Alligator mississippiensis: one gene and its partners. Each later gene encodes a partner of the first gene's protein in a complex. Links are inferred from orthologs where the notes say so. Each region holds a gene or a part of one and is shown in the gene's direction. Other genes may lie near its edges. The genes, in order: CNOT6, CNOT10, CNOT2 and CNOT11.

Evidence for each region.
Region 2: CNOT6 (region 1) and CNOT10 share a complex: the UniProt entries of both Homo sapiens proteins name them as parts of the CCR4-NOT complex. The link is inferred for Alligator mississippiensis from reciprocal best matches to the Homo sapiens genes CNOT6 and CNOT10.
Region 3: CNOT6 (region 1) and CNOT2 share a complex: the UniProt entries of both Homo sapiens proteins name them as parts of the CCR4-NOT complex. The link is inferred for Alligator mississippiensis from reciprocal best matches to the Homo sapiens genes CNOT6 and CNOT2.
Region 4: CNOT6 (region 1) and CNOT11 share a complex: the UniProt entries of both Homo sapiens proteins name them as parts of the CCR4-NOT complex. The link is inferred for Alligator mississippiensis from reciprocal best matches to the Homo sapiens genes CNOT6 and CNOT11.

The regions. Positions count from the first base shown.
Region 1 is NC_081832.1:73,962,539-73,969,748, forward strand, and holds the start of CNOT6 (CCR4-NOT transcription complex subunit 6), read left to right. Parts: upstream 1-4,203; 5' UTR 4,204-4,324; intron 4,325-7,210. UniProt on the Homo sapiens protein: Poly(A) nuclease with 3'-5' RNase activity.
Region 2 is NC_081828.1:142,098,244-142,105,798, reverse strand, and holds the start of CNOT10 (CCR4-NOT transcription complex subunit 10), read left to right. Parts: upstream 1-4,538; 5' UTR 4,539-4,746; coding exon 4,747-4,801; intron 4,802-5,073; coding exon 5,074-5,168; intron 5,169-7,555. UniProt on the Homo sapiens protein: Component of the CCR4-NOT complex which is one of the major cellular mRNA deadenylases and is linked to various cellular processes including bulk mRNA degradation, miRNA-mediated repression, translational repression during translational initiation and general transcription regulation.
Region 3 is NC_081827.1:70,446,902-70,454,230, forward strand, and holds the start of CNOT2 (CCR4-NOT transcription complex subunit 2), read left to right. Parts: upstream 1-4,324; 5' UTR 4,325-4,361; intron 4,362-4,978; exon of another isoform or gene 4,979-5,078; intron 5,079-5,632; 5' UTR 5,633-5,709; coding exon 5,710-5,739; intron 5,740-7,329. UniProt on the Homo sapiens protein: Component of the CCR4-NOT complex which is one of the major cellular mRNA deadenylases and is linked to various cellular processes including bulk mRNA degradation, miRNA-mediated repression, translational repression during translational initiation and general transcription regulation.
Region 4 is NC_081824.1:344,728,302-344,735,217, forward strand, and holds the start of CNOT11 (CCR4-NOT transcription complex subunit 11), read left to right. Parts: upstream 1-3,899; 5' UTR 3,900-3,976; coding exon 3,977-4,400; intron 4,401-6,041; exon of another isoform or gene 6,042-6,410; coding exon of another isoform or gene 6,411-6,420; intron 6,421-6,916. UniProt on the Homo sapiens protein: Component of the CCR4-NOT complex which is one of the major cellular mRNA deadenylases and is linked to various cellular processes including bulk mRNA degradation, miRNA-mediated repression, translational repression during translational initiation and general transcription regulation.

The DNA.
Region 1 (7,210 bases):
TGTTGGTGTATGCTACATCTACACTGGGGGGAGGGGGCATGCTGCTGACATAGCTATCCCAGCGTAACTAAAGCAACAGGAGCTTCGTAGTATAGACAAGCCCTAGACTAATTGCTTTGATGCTGTAGTATCAGATGTACTAGAAAGCATCAGCAATTAAATGCTCCTACAGACAATGGCCTAATTCAACCATGAATCACTCTCAAAGCAAGCTCCATCCTGTGCACTAAGAAGTAGGAGTACTACAAAAATGTAATATACAACTAGGCTTGGCAGAATTTTTTTATGATTTTGATGGATAGCATCAATGTTTATTTTCAAGCATTTGCTTCAATTTTTATCTATTTAAATTTTCAGGACCATGAGAAATTAGGGATGTGGGGAACAGACAATTTATTAATGGCAGTATACTATTATTATAGTGCGATTTACCTGCCCACCACAACAAACATTACTGTAGGACTGTTCTCTGCTGAATAACAGAGCTACCATCAGTCCTGGCTTGGCTTGCCTGTAGCTCCCTTGTCTGCTTTGTCACTTCCTCTTCCTTTGCTCCCAGTCCCCTGGGGTTTCTGGGAGTTACAGTCCAAATGAGTCAGAAGTGTTGTAGGACTGCTCACCCTGTTGTCTCACACACCATCAGCCAGCATTTTCCTTATGTCCCCCTTCTATAAATTTTGATTATTAACAATGGAAATATTCTTTCATCAGCGTGCAAGAAGTGAAATCAACTTTTATCAAGGTTTATCATTAAAAATCAAATCCCACCAAGCCTATACACAACTGAACCCTAAATAAGTAATCTGAATTCTGGCAGTAAGTCTTGAGACTTGACTTCACAAAAATCAATGGAACACACTTTTGTTTGTTTGTTTTTAATAATTTGATGCAATTCACAGCATTTGCAAATGAGCAAAATGAAAGTTTTAATCATGCAGAATCATATTGACAAGGCCTTAACTTGGATCATTAGCAGGGTTGGGACTAGTTCCATAACTCGGGTATCTGCCAGTTGTGCTAACAAAGTAACCAGAAGCAACAGAAGGCTGTTATCCTCTAGGTCAGGGGTAGGCAATTATTTCAGCTGGAGGGCCGCTTAATGAGTTCTAGCAAGCTGTCAAGGGCTGCAAGAGTAGCCTCACCCCTTGACAATGAGCACCCCGAGGGCTTGCCACCTAATACTGCTAGCAGTGGGGGCAGGCATGGGAAGGGGGCACCTGGAGAGGTCCCCACGCCCTCCCACCCTCACCCATACCCTATCCACCCAAGTTCCTGCTGCCTGCTGGGTGCAGGCTCCACACTCCTGCCAGCTCCAGCCCCATGCTCCCACTGAGCTGCAGCTTTCCTCTGCCCACTGCTGCTTCCCTACCTGTTCCGTGGTGCAAGTGCTGCAGCAGGGATACGAGAAGTTGCTGGAGGCCGGGGAAGCCAAGCAGGTCCCCCGGTGGCTGCAGCACTGGCCCTGCCTAGAAGTTGTGCGAGCTGGCCAGGGCCAGGGCCCTCCTAGGCATGAGAATGGGGGTGAACCATGTGGGCTGGGTGGGGTACAATTGCTGGGTAGCCATGGACTGGATGGTGGGTCAGGTCTGGCTGGCAGGCTGCATTTTGCCCACCTCTGCTCTATGTGGACCTGCCACTAGAGGGTGATGAAACATACATTCAGCCAGTGGGTTTCACAGCCATCTACTTAACTGCAAAGGACTCTGGGGGTCCAATCCAGTTTGTGCACAAAAATACACTACAGTGGTTACAAATGATCTTGTGCTCACCCCCACCCTCCAGTTTCCCACAAGCCTTTCCAGGGTCCTTATCTTCTCTGCTCCTGCTTATTCCCCCTTTCCTTCCCCACCCCACTCATTACTCTGCATTCCAGTCAAGCTGCTCCTCCTCTCCCTCCACGCTGACTGGGCACCAACGAGTCATCTGCAGGAGACTGCAGACCATGCAGCCTCAGCCAGAGCATGCTCCCACACTCTTGCTGGATGGTGCTCATGCAATCCAGTTCGTATACAGGAGCTGTGAAGGGCTGGAGCCTGCTCACCAATTCATGGATTGTTAAGGGCTGGAAGGGACCTTGCAAGATCATCAGGTCCAGCCCCCTGTACTAGGTAAGAAAGATAACTGGGGGTCAGGTGACCCCAGCAAGGTGACTGTGCAGGTTCCTCTTGAAGATTTCCAGGGTAGGTGATTGCACCACCTCTGGAGGGAGTTTATTCCACTGTCTGGATACCCTAACTGTGAAGAAGTTTTTCCTAGTGTTAAGCCTGAAACAGTCTTCCAGGAGTTTGTGGCCATTACTCCTGGTTCTCCCCAAGGGTGCCCTGGTGAACAGTTGCTTGCCGAGCCCTCAACGTACTCCCCTGATGTAGCAGTAAGCTGCTACAAGGTCCCCTCTTAGCCTTCTCTTTTATAGGCTGAAGAGGCCCAAGTCCCTCAGCCTTTCCTCATGTGGCTTGCCTTGCAAGCCTCTGATTGTATGGCTGGCTCGTCTCTGGAGTCTCTCTCTCAAGCTTTTCCACATCCTCGTTGAAGTGCGGCACCCAGAACTGGACGCAGTACTCCAGCTGCGGTCTCGCCAATGCCGCGGAAAGCGGAAAAATCACTTCCTCGGTTTTGCTGGAGATGCATAGATCGATGCACGCCAGAGTATTATCTGCCCTACTGGCTACAGCATCGCGCTGACGGCTCATGTTCGTACTATGGTCTGTTATTACCCCCAGCTCCCTTTCAGTCGTTTGGCGTCACCGAGCCTGCCGGTGTGTTGGGGGGCTGTTCGTCCCCAGGTGGATCCAGCACTTTACACTTCTCGGTGTTGAATTTCATCTGGCTCCGATCCGCCCAATGGTAGATGCTGAAGAATTCGGAAGCCAAACGAGTTTCCCCTGCGCACCTGGAAACACGTTTTCACAGGCTTATACCTAGACCAAATTTGAGAGTTTACTCAGGGGAAAAGCAAAGGTAACCAAAGGCACCCTCCATGTCACGTCTCTTGCATGGCCTCCAATCACCAAAGCATTGAAGCTTCGCAAGAACAGCCGTACGAATTTTTCAGTGTGGACCGATTTCCCCCCTCCTTAACCTGACTGAACCGTTTGCACTGACACTTATCAAAACCCATTTTTAGCCTGTAACGGACGCCCAGCATGACGCACGTCAGCTCGAACGGTTACAACGCGCCGAGTTAAAAACAGGATCTTATAACGGCGTTGGACAGCCTCGAGTACAGACAGTGAGCGCTCGTTTCTTTTTGAGAAGAGCTCCTCGTAATGAAGGAGAACAGAACATCTGCGAACTTCTTGCTTAAACACGACGATTAACTCTCGCCTTAATGCAGGGTGGGCAAAACGCGATCCCGGGGGCCGGATGCGGCCCGCCAGCCCAGTCTATCCAGCCCGCGGGCCCCTAAAAAATATAGAAAATTAATATCGACCTGCCCCCGGCTGCCCGTCACGCGGGACCTCGACGGCTTGCTAAAAATCGGTAAGCAGCCCCCCGCCCAAAATAACTGCCTGCCCCGGCCTTAACCGGACCCGGGCACATCTCAACGGGCCCAAGCGGACGGCGCGCCGCATCCCGACCGCCCCAGACGCACGGGCGAGGTCGCGAGCAAGTGACAGACAGATGGACGGACAGGTCCACCTTCCCACGGGCAAATTTAAACGCTGCGGTTTTAAGAGGCATGATGGAAAGTTTCAGCCAGAAGATGTACATACACGACGCCTTCTCTCTCTCTCTCTATGGAAATATATTTTAATAATAATAATAATTAAAAGAAAGGTCTCCCTTCCCCGCCGCGGCGCACAGGAGACGGAGCGAGGGTGCCCCAGTCAAGGAGATAGCTAACCCCTCTTCACACCAGCGCGCTGCAGGGACGAGGGAGGCCGGCACCGGGGGGAGGACGAGTAAGACTCGGAGCAAAGCGTGGGGCTGGCCGGGCCGATGCCCCCCACCGCCGGCAGAGCCCCGCAGACCTCCCCGCGCGCTCCCTCCTGCAGCTCCCCGACACGTACCTCCACTTCGCTGCGCCGCGCCACCAGGCCTGACACCGCCTGAGGAGCCCAACGGCCGCAACGGTCGCGGCGGCGTCACGTGGGTCGCGCTGGCCAATGGCGCGCGGGCGGGGGCGGGGCCACGGGGCGGGGGGAGGGGGTGCGGGGGGCGCCCGCAGCCGCCGCCATGATGCTTGTTTGCTTTCAATGAGTGTGAGGAGGAGGAGGCGGAGGCTGGGGGGAGCCGCTCTCCCGTCCGGCCCGCGGCAGGAAACAAAGAGCCAGGCAGGCGGCGGAGCGAGGGCGGCGGGGGGACGGGGATGCTGCAGCCACAGGTACGGGCGGGAGCCGGGGGGGGGGCCGCGCCCCCCACCCCGTGGGAGGGGGCGGCCCTCATGGAGGGGGGGGAGGGGCGATGTATTTATCGCCGTCCTGAGCTTGGATATTGGGGTGCGATGGCGGGGTGCTGACCCGGTGGCGAAGGCAGCTAGGCGAGGGGGGGGGCACACTGATGAGAAACGGGGTGCAGGGGGGGGGGTGCCTGTGGGGACACGCCACGACCCGGGGAAATGACATCCGTCTGCTAATTGTCCCTCTCCCAGATTGCCCCCCGACAGCTGGAAAAAGGATGCATCTTTTAAAAATATATATCTGTTTATGTATGTATGTATGAGCTAGAGGCGAGGAGTGAACAAAACCGGGGCCTCGACGGGAACTGTCTCCTGCCCCGGGAGAAGCTTGCACTGGCGCTGGCTGCTGGAGCCGAGGCCTAGCTGGCGAGGAGGAGGAGGAGGAGAAGGCCACAGCAGCGACCGCCAGTGCTTTCTGCCTGGGTGAGAAATAGAAAGGGAGAGCGGTGGTGAGCGGGAGTGACGGCGCTGCCGTCCAATGCAGGCAGCCGGGGGGGCGGGCTCGCGGTGACACGCAGGTAAGCGACTGGGCCGCCGAGACCGGGGGACACACGCATGCAGGGATAAACAGAGAGGGATCCGGACGTGCGGCCCTTGGGCTCCTGCCAAAAAAACAACTTTGTTCGGTGCGTCTCGGGCAGGGCGGCGTGCGCCTCTTTGGGAGCGGGAGCGATGTCGGGCGCTCTGCTCCGTCCGGGGACGAAGCTCGCGTGCCTCTGGTTACTCCCGTAATTGAGAAGTTGCGGGGAGGGAGGGGATTGCCGTCCTTTGTCACACGCTGGCACAAATGAGCGGTGCGTAAGCACTTCTGAACTGGGTACGAGACCTAGTGTTTTTATGCTTTTTTTTTAAAGCCTTTTTAAAAGCCCGATACAGTAGTTGCTGTACATCCAGCTACCTGGGTTTGAAGCTTTTAAAGGCTAGTTTGGCCTCGCACTTAAAAGCCTGTTTCTTCAAAATCTACCTGATTCTTATAGGTTACCTGACCTATAATGTTTACAGGAATTGTAATCCCTAAGTGAAATGCATTATTCTTTCAATATGAGAAGTATGTATAAAGCAAACTTAGGTGTTTTTGTGTAATAATCTAAAGGTGGAAAATTAGTTTCATGTCACTTTTAGGCAAATATATACTTTATAATCATGGTTGAAGCTCTTTGGTTACCATATTTCAGGGAGTTATTTTATTTAACAGGATTTCACTGTGATAGATGACAGTTGCACAAAGTTCAAGGGATTGAGGAATACCTGTGGTAATTGTTACTTGCAAAGGTTTGCAAGCATTGACTGGTAATTGTATTGTATCTTGCATTTTTTTTTCATCCTAGAGCAGGTCTCGTAATTGGGAATTTATCAACATTTCCACTGAGGTAATTTTACAGGATTATCCACCCTGTGTTCTTCCTGCTGGTTCATCTGGACTCTGGAGTTTGCAGCTAGCAATGAAGCCTTCTGTGGGGGTTTATTCACGCTGTTACTGAAATGGAGCCATTCACATTTGGATTAACTCTTTATTTACTTTTCACCTGAAACACTTGGATCTGTCCATATGCACAAAGGAGACTACCATGCATCTCTATTGTGTTGCATATTGAAGTTGAACTCTGGGTGCAGTCTTGATGTGTTCAGGCTGGTTGTTTTGCTTGAATTTTAGAGGAAGAACTGAAATATAGATGAGACTATAATACTGCATGGGCAGGTAACTATTTTTGACACATGCAGATCTCTTTATTAAAGAAAAAGTATGTAGTGCCCTTGAGTTTGAAGTGGAGGAAAAACCACTAAGACCAGGCTATTCCAGAGATGAGCAAGAAAAGAGCTGTTTTAGTAACCTGGTACATGGTTTTGTTTGGAGAAAGTCCCCTTGAAAAATGGAAGGAACACTTCCAAGGCTGGCTGAAACAAGATTCACAAGTCTTTCACTTCAACAGAAAGCATCCTTCTCATAAAATAAACAGAATATAGAAAAAATTGCAGCTACACAGCATAGGACCAAACCTAAGAAGGCCAAGGCTTTTTGTGCATAGTACAAAGTGCATTATTTATTATTTGTATTACTCTGGTGCCTAGACGCCACAGTCATGGGCCAGAAGCCTGTTGTTCTGTGCTAATAGAACAAAGATAGTCCCTCCCCTAAAGCCCATTTCCTCTGTTTTCTCTTCCAGCAGAATGCTGAAGTCAACAAGTATTCTGTTTTTCATCCTGTCATGTAATCTTGGATGCGTGTGAGAATTGAATAGCTTGTAACATGGCAGCCTTGGTTCAGATGAAGCCAAAAACCATGGATTTTGTATGTGTTGTATATCAGATACATCATGATCAGATCAGGCACAAGATACATAAAGACATATGCTCCTAATCAGTATTCTTACTAGCCTCTTTTGAGAAGTAAATATGTGAAGGAAGGCTCCTTTTTATTGTTAGTGTCTAAGCATACATCAGATATTAGCTATTGCTCTTTCCATAAACTTTTTGTTGAGCAGAAAAAGAGTGCAATTACATAGTGTCATGTTGAAAAGAAAATAATATAAAGCTTAACACCTAATAAGAATATCCATGTATTTAAGGCAGCAGACTGAGCTGCAGTATCTGGATTTTTTCCTAATTCTAATATAGTCATTCCTAATTCTAATGTAGACAGTTTAATATAGGCACTGCCCTAGGTCAAACAGCACATCTTGTTCTTTAATCTATATATTGATAATTATACATCCTACAAGGATGTGTGTACACTAAATTTATTAATCCTTGCCAAATATTGACATGACAGATGCTATGTACTTTTTGGAAGTCTTATACTAAATTATTCAG
Region 2 (7,555 bases), on another chromosome or scaffold:
GCTTGGGGGTTAATGGGTGAAACGCAGACCCCACCCTAGGTGCCGCTCCAGCTCCCTTTCACCAGGCCTGGCTGAGGTTGCACGTAGTGGCCTGGACTTAGTCCTCAACTGTCAATTGACCCATTTCCATTGACGTTACTGTTTTTTCTTCTTTAAGGTTTCAACCCCCATATAAGTACCACCGCTGATAGAGCTACGCTGCCGTGCATTGACAGGCTGCCTGTGTCTTTGGTTTTTCTAAGAAGTTTGTATAGCAAGTCTCTTCTCCGCTCTTCCCGATGAAATCATCATTAGTCACCAATATAATACGTGTCTGATCCGATACTTGGACTGTTCTGGTGATGTGGTCCAACAGCTGGAGTTTATCCTTTCAGCAAGTGAAGCTAGAATCTCCAAAGCTTCTTAGTTGTTAAAATCCTCCATCTACTTTTCATGGATGATTGACTTAAAACCAACTTTATTTCTTTATTCTCACAGGGTTGAGGCTAAAACATTTTACTTCTGGTTAGAAACTTGTGAGGCCAACTTGACCATAGAGAAATTCAGTGAAACAAGGGTTTATCTTAGGAACCAGTTTAGCCGTAGTTACTGTGTTACTAGAAGCGATGCTATAATCACTATGTCAGATTGCTTATTCTTTGTGAAAATGATTGGCACAGTCTCTTTCAGTTCAGACATTGCAGAAATGCGTGTGGCATGGATGAACCTTCATTGCATGGGATGATAACTGTGTTTGCATGTGGTGAAGTAGCTTTTTAGATATTAAACTCTTCATGAGGGGGAAAATCAATGCCCAGTACTTAAGATACTAAGAAAGATGTGGTTATTACTGTAACCAGTTGGCTCAAAGAGAAGTCTTACCTGATAGTCACCCATTGAGCTCGAATCCTCAACATCTTGAGTGTCTCTCTTGACTTGCTGCTTGTCGCCACTGCATACTGGCTGTTACCTATAGGTGAACCATCTGAAGGAATGGTGGCTTTCTTTCTGTACCTCTTTGTCTGCTTGGGGAACTCTGGCAGCATGGGACAAATTATGACAAGATTTAATGATCTTGTAAAGGACACATTTTCCCTGCTGGGTGCACAAAATAACTTGGTCTGTTTGTTGGAAATGGAGGATTATAATAACTAAGAAGTTTTGGAGAGTTCGGCTTCATTTGCTTAAAGAACGAGCTCCAGTGGTTGGACCAGGTCAGTGGGTGGTCCAAGCTTTGAACCAGATATGTTACATTATTTTGCTGGCCAATGGTGGCTTTGTCTGGCAGAGCAGAGAAGAGGTGTGGCAATGGATGCAAATTTATTTTGGATAAGAAATTATCCTGCTCAGTACTGATAAAAAATAATTTCCAATTGGAAGGGATGTAAAAATAGGGTTAAAAAGAAAGGTTGGGGTGGCAAATGGATACCTTTCGCATTGAAGTTGTAGCTGTTAGCTGTGGAGGAAATAGATTCTGATGCATCTCTTAACCTGAGTGGATGGCAAATGAGCAGGCGAGTCTGTGGCCTGTTTAGGCTAGGTGAGTCTTCAGGGAATCCAATCTCTAATGTAATATCAGGGGAAAGGTTTCTGTTGCATGAGGTTACATCTAAGAAGTTTTTGCTTTGATATCAAAGCTGTCTGGAGCTCAGGTTGGTCTTCTGCAGATACTTTAGTTTGTTGTGTGTTTAAAAAAAGTACTGCTTCCAGAAATGAGCTGAAATAAGTAGGAGAAATGGATCGAGGTTATGGAATGATTCAGTGGAGGACAGTTGACGTTGACTTTTCTAATTTAGATATTGTAGTGAGCAGAGTTTAGCGGTATCTGGGTCTTCCCAACAATGCAAGCTGTAAGGCTGCTGAAATGAGTTGAATAATTTCTTGATTTCTTCAATCAAGCCCAATAAAGAGGTGTTATATCCTAAGACTTCAGAGGATTACTAGGATGTTCCACAAATAGTCTAGTCACTGCCAGGGCTGCCTGCTCTTTAAGGGTATATATATTTAAAAAACACGTTCTCCTAAACCTAATCTTCTAAGTTGTTCTTGTTAACTACTTCCTAGAGAATTATTTTGCCATTAGTACAAATAAGAAGTTTTAGAATACAAAAAGGACAACCAACTATTCACTGTGTCCACAAGGGAAAAAGCCAAAAATGATGGGCTGAAGTTGCAACATGGGAGGCTTTAGGTTGGACGTTAGGAGGAACTGTCTAACTATGTGGTTGGATAAGTACAGCAACAGATTACTTTGAGAAGTTGTGGAATATCCATCACTGGAGGTTCTTAAATGCAGGTTATTTTGTTTTTCTGGTTTAGCTTCTGAGATAATTTGAGCAGGCAGTTGGATTAAATCACCTTCCAGCCTTGTTCTTCTTTGATTTATAGAATACTAACTTTCTGGCTTTTACTTGACAATCTTGTCATGCAATGTTGAGAGAATGAAGTGGGCATGCCTAATTTGGGGAAAAGAGATTAAGGGGACATGATGGCGGGTTTCAAATATTTGAAAGGTGACCATAAATGAGAACACCTGTACTCTTTTACCACAGATGACAGAATGCAAAGCAGTGGGTTTAAATTGCAGTAAAGAAAATTGAAATTAAATCTCCAGTAAAAAAACTTCCTAACTCTAAGAACTATAGAAAATGAAGCAAGCCACCTGAGAAAGATGTAGACTATCCTTCATTGGAGGTTTTCAAGAAGAAGCTGGATGGGTATCTGTATTGGAAGGTTTAGTAATACTGCATCCTATAGCTTCACAGGGGGATTGGACTAGATCAGCGGTGTCCAACCTTTTTGAATGTGGGGCCGGATTGTGAACGTTTTATCACCCAGTGGGCAGGCGAGCCAGATTCAAAGATCTTGCAGGAAGCGGTATCACATCACCTCCCCCCTGTGCGCCCCCCCCCCCCCCCCCCCAACAAAAGTACACTGTTTACTTTTGTTTCCTGTCACAGCACCTCGGGCCTCAGAAAACGGCTTGGAGGGCCGCATAGCGGGCCGTATGTTGGACAAGCCTGGACTAGATGAAACTTGAGATCCCTTCCAACTCTATGATTCTGTCTAATTTCTGTACTGTGAGCATGTGTGGTGGTTGGAAAGAAACTGTAGAAACTCTTTCAAGCTTCCTTGACTCATTTGTTGAATGGATGGTAGGACTAGCTAAGGGCTTTGGCAGATGCAGGGTTTTAGGTCTAATGCAGGGGTGCTCAACCAGATCCAACCAGCAGTGTCATGTCATTTGGTCCACACTGCTTCCTGTGTTTCTGGAAATTTGGCAGTGAGGGATCTGTGGCACCACTCCCTGCCAAATTTCCAGACCCATGGAGAGCCCTAGTCCTGCGTGCTGTATTGGGCACCTGATCCCAACACACAGGGCTGGGAAAAGGTGGCACAGGGCCCCAGGGAGGCTGGCAGGGATGTGGAACCCTAGGGCCCAGTCCTGGTACATGGGGGCCTGGAAGGGACAGCCTTAAGGCCTGATCCTAGCAGAAGAGGGTGGCACCATGTCCCAGGGTCTAATCCAGCCCCACACTGCTCATCCCGCCTGTGGGGCCAAAACTTGAGCACCACTCATGAAAGGTAAATCTAAAAAATATTACATTGAGTAGAATTCCAAGATCCCCCAGGTATTTAACTAGTCTCTTTCCTGTGTAATCTTCAGAATTGTGGCTGGTACTTAAGGTGATCTTATCATAAACTTTGTTTTTTATCTGAAGAGTTTTCTCTGTTGTGACTTTCACAGTTGGCCTCAGCTCTGGTGAGTTTCTAGTTTTTGAATTGTGGGCTCAAATTTTAAGTTAGAAATAAGATGATGTTATTGAAATGTGTCCTTCTATGTTGTAGAATCATAGAGAAGTAAGCCTGGAAGGGACCTCCAGAGGTCATCTAATCCAACCCCCTGCCTGAGGCAGGTTGGTTATCCTTATCCAAACTGTCCCATACAAACCATAATCTAAACTCTACGCAAGTCAGCCCTGAAATAATATAGACCTAACACCGTAAATTGCCACAAGTAAAGCAGGGAAGCCATTGCAGTCAGTGTCCTGCTTCTGTGAAATGTTATCAACATATGCTCAAGAGATGCCAGATAGAGGGTCAGGGTCATGCCCCTTGCTACAGAGGAAGGCAACAACCCCCATAGTTTGTAACAGTGTGACCATGGGGTAAAATTCCTTCCTGACCCCAATTCTGGCAAATTGGTCTGACCCTCGGTGAACGGACAAGGCCCTCTAGCCAGGAACCTCTGGCAGGTTCCAGCAGGAGCACTGGCACACCCCAGTCAATTAACGTGCATATACATTGGTGAACAAAAAATATTAAATATGTAACCTTAAATAGTGTCTATCTTCCTACCCATGCGATACCTTCTATCGTCCCAGCAAATGATGTACATTCATGCTAAATGTTAGCTACTGAAGATCTGTAACAGACAACCTATTCCAAACGATTTAACACTTAAGAGATACCAACCAATGAATATTTGTTTTCATCCATTTTCAGTTTAAAAGTTAACCCCTTCTAAGTTAATAATGCAAAATCTGAAATATATTTCCTGAATAGGAAAACCTATTTGAGAATAGTTCTGTGAGATGAATTTTACATTCTTTTTGGGGTTCTGATTGTATATTCAGTGCATAGCAGTGGAGCGTTTTGCTTCTATTTTTAGTCATCTTTAGCATGTACATTTGCTACATTTCTTAACATTAAGGGAACTTAGCAACTGGGGGACAAGTAGTAGCATACAGATTAAATTAGGTAGCTATGCGGAATGAGAGAGATTCCTACAATAGTTTTTACCAGCTACTGGTATCAAAATGTAAGTAAACAAAATGTACTTTTTACAATGTAAAAAAATTCTCCAGATATTTTGGGGGGAGCAACTCAAACTCCAAAGTTGTTGTACTCTCCAAATTGAATTTAGCAAAGATAGTGTTGTAGTTATGTGTAAAGGTGCCCTAAGTATTAACAAATGGATTTTGAGGGAGGGAGGAATGAAATATGTAATAAAGATACTGAATTATTTTTATTAAATTTAATTGCACATATGATGAAAGCTATCTATTTTCTCTAACCCTTTTAATTTTACAGATCAGGGAACTGAGAAACATGAAGGAGCCACTACTACTTCTGGAATTTCTGATCAGGAAAAGGAGTTGTCAAATAATGCACTACAGGCTTTTGTGGTAAGAAAAGTCTTCAGTTTAAAGATTTCTCTTATATAATTTTGTTCAACATTTACCTGTTTATTCCCATATTTCCTAGAATATTAGGACATGTACTGAGATACTAATTTTGTTTTACTTTCTAACAGCAGCATTATGAAATAATGACCATCACTTATATGAACTTTGATATCTGTTGTCAGACAATAAGAAGAAATAGAGCCCTTAGATTTAGGGTTACCTAAACAGAGAAATGCAAGCACGTTTTTGGTTTTTTTTTCTTGGTTCCCAGAGTTCAGTCATGAGCTTGGCAAAGTAAGCTTATATACGTAGTCCTGGAAACACTCAGACAGCAAGCTTTTTAATTGAATCTTTTACTCCATAGTTTGTGGGTGCACATTTCTTATTCTCTATCTCGTTTTGTGTAAGCCATTATTTTTTGGGTCATGTAGATTATCTAAATAATTTGAAATGTGTTATCTTTCATCCTCCTTGTCCATTTTGTATTATCATAAGTCAGCACTGCACAATATTTTTTCTAAGCTGTTAACATGAAATGAACAGATTTATTTGTAAGACTGGGGAATGATCAAAATATCATAACCCAGTATTAAATGTTTCCACATTCACCTGTCCTGTTTTTAATATCCCTTTTGCTCATTTGAGGCATGATCTTCACATGATGGGAAGGGGTCCTGAGGGGATACAGTGAAAGAATTTCTTACAATTATTCATACCTGAATTGACTTTGATCTCCTTTTAGTTTCATCTCCAGTTCTACAATTGGCCAAACGTACTTTGCTCATCTATGTGTGATAAGACTTTAACAATCCTCTAAGCACAAGAAAAGATAACGGGTTGTAAGGTAGTGATGAATGCAGACAAAATGAATCTAGACTCCTAGTTGTCAGTTTTCCTTTAGTATGGAGTTATGTCAGATAACCTTGTTAACAGTTTTGCCTTACTTCCAGCACTTTTTTTTCTCATTTACTGCACTTATTTTCAAGTTACTTGGTGTTGGCAGAGTGGAAGAGTAATGCAAAGTACAGTAGGAAGCAGTTAAATTAGACTTGATTTAATAAGTATTGTCCAAGGTGACCAGAACCTGTGAAGGGCTAAACCAGGGGTAGGCAACTCCTGGCACAGGTGCCAGAGCATGGCACATAAAGGCATTTTGCTTGGCTTGTGTGCCTTGGCATGGACAGTGGGGAAGGGAGCAGGGCTGTGCTGCCATAACAAGGATTGTGGGCCCCTTATGGCTCCCCCTCCACTTACCCCTGGCATGCCAACATCTTCCAAGTTAAGGTTAAAGGTGTTTTTGGCACTCTGCCCAAAAACATTACCAGTGCCTGGGTTTAGCAAGGCTTTAGATACGGTTTCCCGCAGCATTCTTGCAAGCAAGGTAAGGAAGTATGGGCTGGATAAATTGACTGTAAGGTGGATAGAAAATTGGCTGGAGCATTGGGCTCAGACAGTAGTAATCAATGGCTCGATGTCTAGCTGGCAGCTGGTATCAAGTGGAGCACCCCAGGGATTGGTCCTAGGGCTGGTTTTGTTCAACATCTTCGTAAACAACCTGGAAGATGACAAAGAGTGCACCCACCACAAATCTGCAGATGACATCGAGATGGGGGGAGTAATAATATGCTGAAGGGTAGGGCTAGGATTCAGAGTGATTTAAGCAAATTGGAAGATTGGGCCAAAAGAAATCTCATGATGTTCAACATGGGCAAGTGCAAAGTCCTGCACTTAGGATGGAACAATCCCATGTACTAGTACAGGCTGGGGGCTGACTGGCTGGGCAGCAGCTCTGCAGAAAAGGACCTGGGGGTTACAGAAGACAGTAAGCTGAATATGAGCTAACAGTGTGCCCTTGTTGCCAAAAAGGCTAACGGCTTACTGGACTCTTGGTAAATGTGTTGTCAGTAGGTCAAGAGAAGTGATTATTTCCCTCTGTTCAGCACTGGTAAGGCCACATCTGAAGTGCTGTGTTCAGTTTTGGGTCTCCACTACAGAAAGGATGTGGACAAATTGGAGAGAGTCTAGCAAAGGAACAACAATCTCAAGTTGCAGCAAGGGAAGTCTAGGTTAGATATTAGGAAGAATTTTCTCGCTAGGAGGGTAGTAAAACACTGGAACAGGTTAGCCAGAGAAGTGGTGGTAATTCCATCCTTGGAGGTTTTCAAAACCAAGCTAGATAAAGCTTTGGCTGGGTTGATCTAGTTGGGAATGGTCTTGCTTTGAGCAGGGGGTTGAACTAGATGACCTTGTGAGGTCCCTTCTAACCCTAATTTTCTAGGATTCTGATTAAACCATTCAACCTGAATTGGGACTAGGATCTGTGTGTCTGCAGCCTGAATTTAAAGGGATGCTTCTATCAATATCCTGGTTCAAGGACTAGGAAAGAG
Region 3 (7,329 bases), on another chromosome or scaffold:
TCCATATTTTATTGGTATCCAACCTGTTTGCATGTCCTTCTGTCACTGTCTATATCTGAGGCCAAGGATAGCCATACAGATTTTTCCACGTAGAATGATACGGTTGAGCAGCATGGTAAATGGGATGCATAGGCCTAGCTGAACCATGGTTGTACAATGAAAACTCAAATGAGTGCCACATTTTTCCAAACCATGTTGGGGGCTTGTTCTTGATAGTTCCTTCCCAGAAATAGAACTCCTTCCTGTTCTGGCCTGTCACAGCCTGAGCCTGGATGTTTCTTCCAAAAATATTGTAAACCCTTTTTGATTTGGGCAGGCCTTTTGCTGGCAGGGTTGAGTTTTGGATCATTTTATGGAGCGTTTGTTCTAATACATATTACTTTTGTTTAATATTTTAATCTGTCTTTATAATTTATCTGGGTCTTTATTGTAAGTCACCCTAAGCCTGTCTTTGGGAGAGCAGCATATACATAAATAGACATTCAGGCCCTGATTTGACAATCGTGGATCTGCGTCTTCACAGAGCCAAGGGCAGGAGAAGTTTTCTATTAATGCTGCTCTTCTTGTTTATACTTAGGTGTGTCAGCAATTTAACTAAATTTGGTTTACTAAAATGTGTTTAAAATTTGCCATGTCTATTTAGTTTGTAAAATAGGCTACTCTTCAAACTACAGTAAAGTGTGTCTACATACAAATTTGAATCAGTCTACCTTAAATAGGTTAGAAACACACACACTGAACCAAATCAGTATGCCTTTGCTTGGAGACAAAGCCTTACACGTGCAAGCTAAATGGTAAACCAGGCTTCAGTTGAATTAGAAATGTCTACACATGGGTTTGCACTCATCTAACATGGTTTAAAATGCATGCCTAGTTAATAAAATGCTACTTAGTAACAGAACAGACTTCAGCCTTGAAGAAAAATGTACTTAGCCAATAGCAGAAGTTGCAAATAGGCGAACTCACTACATTAATCACAGTCTGTTGTTATCTATTTATCAACTTCAAAGTCTTTTTAAATTGCTGACAACTTTCCTGTTCTCTAAAACAAAACAAACCAAAAAAGAAGTCAAATACACATATTAATTGTAATGGTAATGGTCTACAATGAAAGATAGGAAGTCAGGGAACATAGCAGTTAAGGTTTTTAGATTAACATTAATTTACACACATTGGGACTGATTAGGCTACTTAACAAGTAGTATCTGTAGAACAAAGAAATTATTTTCTGTGATAAAACTGAATGTTTGTGCTTCCTTCCTGAATGTTGTTGAAATATGTAACCTAAATGTTGTACAAGTACATACCATTTTACACTTGAACCCAAATTTTGTAATGGATGCAGGGACCAGCCCAGAAAGAGGTAAATATAAAATTGGATGCTTAGTTTACATGCGTCACACTAGTGGATATCATATCTTTACATCAATTTTCTTTTTGTGGAAATTTAACTAAAACAATGCTTGTGAAAAGTAAGCAGAATGGGGAGAAGTCTAAACTCAAATTTAACAGAATAAATCTCAGGGTGTAAAAGGCCAAAAATTCTCTTTAATAATTTTGCAGCTGTGTAGACCAGGGGTTCCCAAACTGTGGTACATATACCCCCGGAGGTATGCAAGACATCTCTGGGGGTATGCGGGAGAAATTGTGAACTGGTGGATTTAATTTTCATTATAATCATAATTGGTATTTAAGGGTTTAAAATATAAAACAGATGCTGGTAAGGGTACATGGGTAGCTGGTAAATCTGGAAGGGGGCACACAATACGAAAAAGTTCGGGAACCTCTGGAGTAGATTAAGAAGATTCATGTATTGCTCTTAGTCTAAAAACAGAAGTCCACATTTTTTCATAAAAGGTGTCTAAAAGATTCTTATTTTTTTCCCTTTTTAATTTTTTTCTTTAAACAAACAAATAATAAACCTCCAAGCCTTGAAGGTACATTTTTGCTATTTTATTTATTTTTAGGAACTGCATAATTTTTTAAACAGAAAAAAGAACTATGATAGCTTGTTCTGACTTATGCTTGTAAGATCAGAAAAAACAGTTCTGATCAAATTGAATGGAGGCCTTAAACCAGGTTGTATAGTTATAGTAAAAAGGTGTCATTAAAGAAACATTGTGTATTATTTTGCCCTCAAATATTAAATTTCTATTTACACATTAAAATGTTTGTTTATAAGGTAGAGTTTTGGGTAACCTGCCCTCAATAAGGTTTCTTAGCTGGAACAGGCAGGAAGCAGGGTAGGGTGGCAGTTTAGAGATTATTAATTAATTCAGAAAGGAAAGCTTCTGCAGGTGAAATCTACTTTAGGGGTGTCAACCTCCTGCCTGCAAGCCAAATCTAGGCCATGGAGCCATGGCATCTGGCTTACAGAGTTCCCCATGGATTGGGAAATTTGGTGGTAGGAAAGGATAGCTACACCTTTCCGCTGCTGCCAAATTTTCAAGCCCCACATATCTGGATGCAGGCCCAGCCAGGTCAGTCTGTTGCCATGTAGACGGACATGGGTCCCCCCACCCAGGTTGCTGGATCCAGCCAGAATGGACCTGGGCTGTTGGGGTGGTCCATGGGCCGGATGGGCCCTTGCTGCGTCTGCTCCATGCTCTGGATTGTGCTTGCTGTCTGGATCCAGCCTGCAATCAGACCTTGCACTGCTCATCCAGCCCCTAGTCTACTTAATTGGAAACACAATAGTTTATGTGTTTTTGAATCAGTTAAGTCTCCAAATTGCTACCCTGTCCCACTTTCTGCCAGACTTTAGACTAGCACGGCTAACTACCTTTCTATACTGTTAGCTGGAACAGTAAGACAATTTTGAAACTGTAAGAATCAAACCTGCCTGAGTAAATGACAAAGTATGAAGCCTCTTTTATTACTGGAAAAAAAAAAACATTAAAAAAATCAGCCATTAGTGCCTTTTTTCCTCGTGTTATTTCTTAATGCAGCTACTTCAGATTAAAAAATTATGACAATTAAAATAACAATAGTCTATGAGTTTTATTCTTTTTGTTTTAAAGGATGGGGAAGTTCAGCTATTATCAGGTAAGCCTTATGTGCCGACTTAAGCACCATTGTAGCCCCACGGAAGTTAGCATGAATATTCACACTAGTTATGTCTAACCTAGTGGTGGGCAACCTTTTTAGACCGGAGACACCCTTTGATAAACTCAAGGCACCTTCAGAAAATATCGGCTCCTAGTTTTCAAGTGTTTCTTAATGACGGAAAAATAGTAGAGCCATTCTTCCTTTGCGAAGAACTCACAAAGACTGCAACAGTTCAGTCTTGTCGTAACACTGCCAATTCCCATTTGAAACCTCTGGGTTTACTGTGCAAGTTTGGATCTGCACGCCTCACAGTGCTAATGCTGTGTGGCACCCCGTTGCACCCTTGAAAGGATTTCAAGGTACCCCAGGGTGCTGTGGCATCCAGCTGGAGAATCACCCGTCTAACCTGTCTGGGTCTGGAGGGTTGGGCCCTTGTTATTTAAGCCAAGCTTGAAGGTTGTGATGTGAAAAACCTCCTGGGTGCCCCAGTTAAGAGAAACTACATGGTGCCCCGAAACCGCTCTGACAGCATCTGCCTCAGGTGCCGGATGGGACAAGGTGGCCAATCGGACCAGTGGCCCGGGCACGAAAAGATTTGGTTTCTGACTTAGCCAACGGGGACTGCAGGGCCGCTTTCCTGTCCCTCGTCCCATCACTGAGCAGCATCCACCGGCTCCTTGGAGTCTCTGGAGGGCCGCCGGGCACTGTCCAGTGCACTCTGCTCAGCTCCACTTTCCCAATCCCTGATTCTGAACCCATGACCTTGCTCCCTTCCCTGTTTCCTTGGCTGTTGTGTCCCAAGGAATTGGCCGTCGCTTTCTCAGGGGCCTCCCTCCTTAAGGGCGGCTGATAGTCACCCTTGATCCCCTGAAAGTAACAAACAGCCTGTCCCTGCCGCCTCCGGCCTGGGTCCCTGAGGCCCCAAAGCGGGTGGGATCGGAGCCCCCATGAGAGGAAACATGCGGCCCACCCCTGCCTTTGCCTGACCAGGGACAGGCGGCTCCACCGGCGGGGCTGCGTGTGCGTGGGGCCGGGTCACGGAGCAACTCCCCCCTCGGTGTGTGTGTGCGTGTGTCTGTGCCTGTAACAGGGCCAGGCCCGAGCCGAGTCGGGCCGGGGGCGGCAGGAGCGCACCGCACCGCAGCGCCGCGCTGCGCAGGGGGCGGAGCGCCGCCCCTCCCCCACACGGGTTGCCCGGCGGCAGCGGCGGGGTCACGGCGGCGGCGGGGTCAGAGGGTAAAGGTCGCTCCCCCAGCATCCTCCGTGCTGGGGACTCAGCCATCTTGGATCGGCGGGACAAGAAAATTCATGCGGTGAGTCCGGCCCCCCGCGCCCCCGCGGGCTCCGCGCTGCGCCCTCCCCCGCCTTGCCCTGGCCCGCGGCCACCTCCGGAGGGCCCCGCGGCCGCCCCGGCCTCGCCCGCCCGCGCCGCTGCCCCCCGCCCGGCCACGGCCCCGGGCCCAGCCGCGGCCCCGGCCCGCCGGGCTGCCGTTTGCTTTTGTCTCCGAGGGAGCGAGAGGGAAGCGGGGGGAGGCGCGCGGCGCCCGAGGCCGGCGCCCCCCGGGCCCGCTGCGCGCAGGACCAGGCCGCGGCCGCGGGGCCCGGAGGCCGCGTCGCGCTGCGCTCAGCGCCGGGCCCGGCCGCGGCCGCCGCTCCTCAGCGGGCCCAGCGCGCCCGCTGTCGCTGCCGCCACCGCCGCTGAGCCCGGCCCGGGCTGAGGAGAGGGGCCGAGCCCGGGGGACTGGGGGTGTTTTCCGGCGCTCTCCTGCTGGAGACGGGGGGCTGAGCCGCCCGTCCCGGTGTTGGGCGAACAAACTTGAGAGCGGGCCCTTCGCTTCCCTTCCCCGCAGCGGGCCGGGGACACGGGGCTTCGCCTCCCTGTGCCGGCAGCCGGGCGGGGGTAGCGGGGACTGCCAGGGGTTTGTGCTCGGGCCCTGCTTGTGGGGGTTTCTGCTGGAGGATGCCCTGACCTGCTCGCCAAACCAGCCTCGCTTAGGGAGAGGGAAAGAGAAGTCCGCCTGAAGCCACAGGTAACTTTTGGCTGAGCTCTCTTCCCTCTGGGGTAGAACTTGAGTACAGCCGTGGTGTCTTCCTCCCCCTGCACCTTCAGGGAGGTGATTGCCAATAGCAGCTTTTGACTTTAAAAAAAAAAAATTAAAAATCTATTTTGTTGGAGAAACTTAATCTCTGCCCTGCTGCTCTCCAGCTGACACTTGGCAGTGGTGTCACATTTTCACATCTGCCCGAGTGTGCATGGTGTCTTGAAGGCAACATTTGTTCATAGTCTTGATGGTGCTAAAGTCTGGTGGTGGTGGTGGTGGGTGGCTGCTGGGCTTTATTCTTCAACCAGGTGATTTAAGGGTGATTGGACTTGCTGTCATACCGGCCAATAGGAATCATGCTGCTGGGAGGGAGGGTTAAACTGTTATGGCGTATAGATCTAGAATAGTAACCAAAATGCGGCTATTTCGATTTTTATGGCAAAAGTCCTGTATTTAGGCCTAGGAAGGACTTTGTGCAAGCAGCAGTGTTCTTTGAGTCTCCTCTTAGAACGGGACATTTCATCACTGTCTGTTGTTAATAGAACAAGGTTTGCAAGATCTTGTCCTTGTTTCTCGAGTACTGGTATAACAGCATCACTGCTCGCCCGGAGAATTCCTGATGGTATGTTGTAAGCTTCCAGACTTCAAGGTACCAGTCCTTTTATTACGAGGGAATTTGAATGCTTCACATCACAAAGTAATTTGTCATTGTCTCGCAAGTGGTATTTTGGTTTCATTTTCAGGAAGTTGCACTGAAGCTAATGACGTTGTGGTGGAAAGAACGTTTTGTTTTGTGCATCCTTCTCTAAAGAGTTGTAACTACTTACTTATGAAACTCTGTGTTAGGAGAATCTGCTCCTTGTGCCTTAACTGTTAATGCTAGTCTAAAGTTATCTGAGAATTTAAGAAAGGACTTTAACAGCTGGAGTGCCCAAATTAAGATGTCATTTGGAAGGGCCCAACTTCTAAAGAACGAGTACTTGTTACTTCCTGAACATCAGATCCCATAAAAGTGTTGTCAGTTGGGCAACTTAGAGTAGCCCTAGAACCCTGCTCACATTTGGTAATGTTGGTCTTTAGCGCTAGCTCTTTGTGAAAGTTGAGAGTGCCATTTCACTGAGTTAACTGACCATAGGTCTGACATCAAAATTGTTTATTTTTCCTCCAGTCTTGCCTGTGTGTTGTCTATCTAGACAGGATTGCAGGCTTAATTTGTTACAGTTTAATTTTGTTGTAAAAATACACTTTCATCTCCTTTGGAAGTCTATTTTCAGTACTAAAGTTTGAAAAAAGTGGGTATTGTCCCTTATACTGAAAGTGTACCTTTTAAAAAAGCATTCTCCAATAGTTTTCTCACAATGTAAAATATTAAGATTAAACCCAAATTATTTATTTTTTCAGGTCAAGTCGGCAGTGTTAATGGGATTTGTACACAAATTCTACACAAGCATTCAAGGATAGAATTTGGCATTAAGCTTGTAGGATCCATATTTTTTTTATAGTGCTATGTAAATGGCTGTGATCTGATCTGTTATTATTTTGGGGAGAGGGATTTTCCTTGTGACAATCCAAAAAATTCAATGAAGAATATATGTTGGTTACTACCTTCTCCACCCCTCCCCCCATGTTGGTTTACTTCTGTTGTGTTTGTGCATATTTATAAATGTTATTCCAGACTGGAAGAACTTTTAGTTTTCCAGTGTAAGCCTGTCTAAACATGTTACACTTTGTACCAATTAACTTTTTTTTTTCTTTTTTAAGAAGTAGGTGTTTGTTCATAATTATGCAGGATCAGGTTGATATTTCTATCATTTATGCAAAAATGCAGCCACTAATATTTGCTGACAAAACCCAACAATTCAAGGTTAGGGTAACTTAGACTTGCTAGCTAATAGAAAAATAATCTTAAAATGCTTACAAAATTGTTAGGCATTTTGACTTTGATAAAATATTCTGTCTGTTTCGGTGAATATGTTTTCAATTAAAACATCTTGTTTTTTTAATATGTGTAGTACTTCAGAATGGTTTGTTTTTATTTCAGGTTCCTGTGTTAGAGGGGTGTTGTACTTTTTTTTTTTTTAAATGCCCCTAAAAAGTGACCTAAAGTGTTGCTTTGGTTAAGGTTCTGATCCTACAATTATTTATGTACACACTTAAGTAGGATTCTTCATTTGAATAGTAACTTACTGACAGATGAGCACTTGCTGAGGAATTTGCAGGAGTTAGACCTACATTTGTG
Region 4 (6,916 bases), on another chromosome or scaffold:
ACCGAGGTCAGATGACCCCAGCCAGGTGACTATCTAGCCTCCTCCTAAAGACCTCCAAGCTAGGTGATAGCACCACCTCTCTTGGAAGCCCATTCCAGATCCTGGCCACCCTTACTGTGAAAAATTTCTTGCTAAAATCTAACCTAAATCCACTCCCAACTAGTTTACACCCATTATTCCTAGTCACTCCCTTGGGCACCCTAGTAAACAGCGCTTCCCCTATTCCCCTGTTGACCTCCCCTAATAAATTTAGGGGATGGGAGTGTATCCAGGATCACCCTAGCTCATGGGAGGGAACCCAGGCATCTGTGAGCCCTGGCCAGAAGATATAAATTATAGGAAAGCCTTAAAATCAGCTACAACGATCAAAAAAAGCCAATGATGTAAATTTCCCTTTTATCAGTGTCGATCCAATAGGCAACCGATATATTGGTGTACTTTTACCATTTACAGGATTTGGTGGCAATTTATTACCAAGAACATGCAGTGGTTAGCAAGTATTACAGATAACTCAAAGAAACATATTTAAGTCTTTCCTTTGATGGCAAGCCATCACTGCATGCATATCCTATTTGGGTTTCCCCTGGAAGCAGGGCAAAACAATTAAACTACGGAAAAGTAGGGACCTCCAGAGGTCATCTAGTTCAACCCCCTGCCTAAGGCAGGATCATCCCTATACAAACTATCCTATAAATCCATAATCTAAATTCTACTTAAGACTACCATAAACCCAGACACAACATAGACCTAACACGCTAACCTGCCACAGGTAAAGCACGGGAACCACAGCAGCCAACATCCTGCTTCTGTGAAATGTTGTCAGTATATGCTCAAGAGGTCTGGGGTAGTCCACACCATGGGGTAAAATTCCTTCCTGACCACAAATGTGGAGATCAGTCTGACCCTGAGTGCAGGGACAAGATCCTCTAGCTAAGTTCCTCTGCCTTTGGTCCCAGCAGAAGCATGGGCATACCTCAGTTCAAGTCTCCAGCCCTGGCTGTAGTCAATACCCAATGCCTCTGAGGGAGGCATAGAAACACCCTGACCCATGGAACAGAAAAGGGGGGAGGGGACAGGGGCAACCAGCAAAGCCCAGAAGCCTGGGAAATATCTATAGTAGAGCAAAGGCACAGCTACCCCTAGATTATTTGCAACCAGTGACTGTCCAGCCTCTTCTTGAACACCTCCAGTGATGGAGAGTACACAACTTCCCTAGGCACTGCCTCACAGTTCTAAGTGAAGAAGTTTTTCCAGATATTCAATCGAAACTTACTTTGCTGCAACTTCAAGCCCTTGGTCCATGTCCTCCTCTCTGCAAGATAAAAAAGGTGCTTTCCCTCTTCTTTGTGGCAGCACTTCAAGCATGTGAAGACCACTACCATGTCCCATCTTCAGCACCTTTTCCACAAGCTGAGCATGCCAAGCTTCTTCAGCCTCTCCTCTGCTCATATATCTTGCCTTCTAAGCCCTTGATCATCTTTGCTACCCACCTCTGTATCTTAATTTTTCCACAGACTTTTTAAAATACAGAGTCCATGTCTGCCACAAAGCAACTGCCTGCAAACCCCTTCTTTCTTGTCTTCAGAGGGAATCTCCACCAACTGAAGGTGTTAGATACAGGCCTGGTCTTCAATAAAGGAAAGCCAAATCAATGATTAGCTCATCTCCTCCCAACTTGCTAGCCTTCATGCTTGTGCTTCCCACAGCTGAAGCTCATGTTTCAGGACCATTTTGGACCAGGACACGATCACAGAATGATAGCACACCAGGGCGAGAAGGGAGGTCATCCAATCTGACCCCTGCTCAAAGCAGGACCATCCCCAACTAGATCATCCCATTCAAAACTCTATCTGGGGGACCTTAAAAATATCTACGGATGGAGATTCCACTGCATCTCTGGGCAGTCTGTTCCAATGCTTTACTACCATCCTTGAGAGGGTTTTTTCTTGTCTCTAACCTAAACTTCCCTCACTGTAACTTGATACCACTGCTCCTTGTTCTGTTGTCTGCCACCACTGAGAACAGCTCTAGCTCCAGGCTCTAGCTCAGGATGGACAATTATTTGGGCCTGAGGGCCACACAGGAAGTTTTGATGAGCTGTTGGACCAGGTCAGCACCCCCCTCCCCAACTCACCAAAACTCCCTATGGGGCTCTGGGTGGGTGGGGAGCAGTGTTCGGGAGTGGGGCAGGCATGATCCACTCCCTGCACACACTGACTTGTTGTGATGGAAGGGGGGGGGGTATACAGAGGGGGCTTGTGTATGTGTGTGTGTGGGGCTGCATGGGAGCCAGCCAGGGACAAAGGGAGGGGGAGGGCATATGCAGCAGAGCTTGTACTCCCACCCACACCTATCAGCCCCAGCCCTGACCCGGGCCCCAGCCAGTATGCAGGTTCTAGCGGGTGCTGCTCCCAGCATGGCTACAGCCAGTCAGGACTGCATTGTCACCAGGAAACAAGGGGAGGACAGTAACACCTGGCCAGTGGTAGTCACACCAGGAACAGCCCCACTGCAAGGCTGCAGTGGCTCAGGCCAGGGGGCCTGCTCAGCTCCCCTTGCCTCCAGCTGACGCTGGTGCTCCTGCTTCGCTGCTCTGGGCAGATGGGAAGCTTCAGCTGGATGGCTCCTGCCTAGGTGTAGAGTTGTGGTGGTGAGCAGCCATCTGCAGACAGGCGAGGTGGGTAGAAAGTAGCTGGGAGCTAGAGTCAGAGCTCCATACACAGGGCAGAAGCCACCCAGCAAAACTTTCTGCCCCGGCAGAGCAGTGGGGCAAGGACAAGGGCTGCAGCTAGAGGCAAGAGGAGCAGAACAGCTTGGGCCAGCAAGCAGCTTCCAGTGGAGCTGGCCTTGTGCTCCCCATACCTTCTGCAGCCACTCCTCCTCCTGCCCCTGCTGCCTGACTTGAAGAAGGGAAGCTTCTGCTCAGCTGCTTCCACCAGAGGTGAGGGGAGCAGAGGAGCATCCGGCCAGCTGCAACCGCACTGGGAACAGTCCCACCAGAAGCTGCAGTAGCCAGTCCAGGGCTGGGGGGGGGAGCATGGTGCAGACTGCCCCCACAGGAGCAGGTAAGGCTCAGCCCTAGGTGGAGGCAGCCACAGGCTAGATCCAGCCAGCTGAATACAGCCCACGGGCCACATTTTGCCCACCTAGATCTGCCTCCCGGAATCCCCCTGCAGGGAGTTGAAGGCTGCTGTGAAATCCCCTCAGTGTCCTCTTCCCCGGACTAAATCAACACAGCACCCCCAGCCCGTTTTCTCTGGACTGCACCTGTCTGCCCCGGAGCCTTCCCAGTGCCCGAAGGCCAAGGCCTGAGAGCAGATCTAAGACAAGGCTGAACCAGACCCGGATGCAAATCACCGCCCACAAAACCGTCCTTTTAGCCGCAGGGAGTGAGAGCCAATCATCGCCCACGCTCCTTGAAGGGCGGCAGCAGCAGCCAATTCGTGCCCTCCCTCTGCCTCCCGGAGGACTCAACAGCCAATCCCTGCCCTCGTTTGGTCTCCCTGAAGGGATACCACCCGTATATGGTCCTGAAATACGTATGCGTGCATCCTCGTCCGCTCCCCGCCTCCCTGGAGCAACAGCCAATCTCCGCCCTCCCCGGAGCCCGGCAGCAGCCAATCCCGGCCCTCTCTCCGCCTCCTCAAAGGAAACCACCCACCCAACCTCGCCCGCTCCCCGGCTCCTTGAAGGACAGCCGCGGCAGCCAATCTTCACCCGCCCTCGCCTCTGCGGGAGGACGCCAACAGCTCCTTGGGCGACCCAATCCCCTCCTTCCGGAAGACGCGAGCAGCCAATCCCGCCTCCCCCCCGCTTCCCGGGGGATGCCGCCAGCAGCACGTTCCGGTACTACAGACGCGCCCTGGTCCCTCCCCTTGCCGCCCGTTACCTCCCTGCCTCGCTTGACGGCAGCATCGCGAAGTGTCGCGCTGCCGCTTTGCGGCCTGGCTCCGGAGCGGGGCGGCGCGGGAGCTGGATGCCCGGCGGCGGAGGCAGCCCGGCGCCCTGCTCGCAGCTGGGCGCGGAGGCGGCGCCCGGGGAGGCGGCGGCAGGCAGCAGCGGCGGCGGTGGCAGGATGAGCCTGTCGCCCAAGGAGCTGTCGAGCCTGCTGAGCATCGTGTCGGAGGAGGCGGGCGGCAGCTCGTTCGAGGGGCTCTCGGGCGCCTTCCACCACTACTTCGGCAAGGCCGAGCACTTCCGCCTGGGCTCGGCGCTCGTGCTGCTGCTGCAGCAGCCCGACCTGCTGCCCAGCCCGCCGCAGCGCCTCACCGCGCTCTACCTGCTCTGGGAGATGTACCGCACCGAGCCGCTGGCCGCTAACCCCTTCGCCGCCGTCTTCGCGCACCTGCTCAACCCCGCGCCCGAGCGCGGCGGCGAGGCCGAGCGCACCCCGCTCTCCGGTACCCGCCTACCTACCGGCCTACCAGGACCGGCCCCATCCCCTTTTCCCCCTGCTCTGGCACCACCTTCCTCCTCCCGGGCTGGGGGCGGGCCCTGGCATCCCCCCCCCCAATAAATATTCCCACTCCCACTGGGATTGGGTCGGCCCCAGCACCCTCCTGCTGCTCGAGTACTGCCCACTCCTGGGACTCGGGCAGGCCCCAACCCTCACTGGCACTAGCTCCCACTGGGACCAGGACTGCCCCCACTCTGCCCTGGCCACTGCCCCTCTTCTCTGGGAGTGGGGATGGTCTTAGCAGTCCCCCCCCCCCCAATGCTCCAGCCACTCGCTCCCACTGGGATCAGCTCCCCCCACTCTAGCTCTGTTCCCCTTTGGGGTTGGTCCCAGCATCCCTCCCTGCTAACATTCCTACTGGCACTGGGTCTGCCTCAGCACCCTTCCCCCTGCTCTAGCGGAGCCCCTCACTTGGACTCAGGCAGGTCCCAAAGGTCCCCCCACCCCAGTGTTCCAGCCACTTGCTCTCAGTGGGACCAGGACCGGCCCCATCCCCCTCTTCCCCCTGCTCTAGCACCACCTTTCTCCTCCCAGACTGGGAGTGGGGCAGGCCCTGGCATTCCCTCCTAGGACTGGGCTCAGCCCCAGCACCCTATCCCCTGCTCTAGTGCTGCCTGTTGCTGGTCCCAACCCCCACCCCTAGCAGTCCCTGTCTCCCCCAGCTACAGCCACCGCCTGTTTTCTCTGGGACTGGGGATGGTCCTGGCACCCATCCCCCCCCTCCCCTCTCCTCCCCCTCAGCTCTTCAGCCACTGATTCCCACTGGGATTACAAGTATTGTATTGAGCTGAGAAGCACCACAGTTACGGGTTTCTATTTGAAATTTATGGGCATGTCTCCATGAGCAAGAATGTGCATTTCCCCAGGGACCAATAGCAGCATTGCTACTGCTGGTTGTCCCCTGGCACGCCCCTGGACTCACAGCAAATTGCCCCAGGTGCGGTAGGGGAAGCTGGGTCTGGCCCCAGCAGCCTTACCTGGGGTGCTGGGGGGGGGGGAGCTCCAGCAGCAGCAGTTTCGACACGCAGAGTTTGGCCAGCAGCTGGAGCGTGGCTCTGGCTGGCCAGGCTCCAGCATCTGGTAGGTCACATGTGCCACGCTACTATTTTTTGGTGCAGCTTTCTTTGGTACCAGGATTTCCCAGTGTCTCATTTTGCTGCTGTGCTGCATTCTGTGGCGTGCAGATTACCATGCACTGCACGCATACAGTGTTTGAGGCTCTGTAAACTGCACGTTCCCACTTGGGATGTGGCCTCTGGGTTTATCTTGTGAACTGTTTGTAAACCTAATAGTGCTGACGTTGCAGGGCACCATGCACCATCCTTGAAAGGATCTCAAGGCATCCCAGGTTGAGAATCCTTGACAAACCAATAATCCATAATTGGTTGGCTTGTTAACCAAAAGCCCATTTCAGGGGCTCAAGCCTGCCTACACCAGTGATAGTTTTAAATATTGCTGTTTTTTTACTGGCTAAGTAACCTGTCTTCAGCTCTTGAATGAACAAATGTATTTTTTTTTAACAGTATGCTTTTAATACATAAATGAGCTGTTTCATAGAAATAAAAAATGTAGGGCTGGAAAAGGGACCTCTGGAGGTCATCTAGTCTAAACCTTTGCCTGAGGCAGGATCATCCTTATCCAAACCATCCTATACAAATCCATTGCCTAACACAGATTTATTTCAGAAAATGCTTTTTTTTTCAAAATGATTAGGATGCTTAACCACATATAATGCGTTGTATGAAAACTATTCATAACAATTTTGCAGCTGTTGCCTGACCCTGCCAATGGTAAGTCTGTGCTGTGGCAGTCAGTGGAGAGCGCTGCTTTTCAGAGGGCATGTGAATTTCCTGTGTTGCATCCCTCCCCAGCTACAGACTTCACAAATTAATTTCAGGTTGCTTACCACTACAGCAGTGATCTGTGCGACTACTGGGAGTGCTGTCTGGTTAGCATGCCCTTCGGTAAGGAATATTTGTAATAGGGTCATAAAATGTTTTTCATATTCTTAATTTACTTCAAATGGTTTCTAGGCCACCAAAGCTACCAGGTTTTCCACTGAAAACTACATACAATTCATTAGTAATGCAAGCCATTTTAGTTTTCAGAGCACAATTGAGGTCCTCTTCAAAGATGATAGTCCCTGTTTTAGGAATAAAAAGAGGGTGTTGAGCGTTATTAGCACACCTCTTCCCCCCCCCTCCCCCGGTTTAATATATGAAACTACAGGTATTGCAATGAATAACTCTGTTGTTTAGGCTAGTGATAAGCCATTAGGAATGATAAGCCATTGTGATTTTAAATCCAGACTAATGGACATGCTCAAAACCAGAATAAAAACATTGCCTGTTCACTAATTTCATCCTACAACTGTTTTAAGAGCCTGTTTTCAGTGTTGACCTGTATCACGGAAGTATTTGATTCAATTGAATTAACATAATGGCACAACTCAAGTGTCTT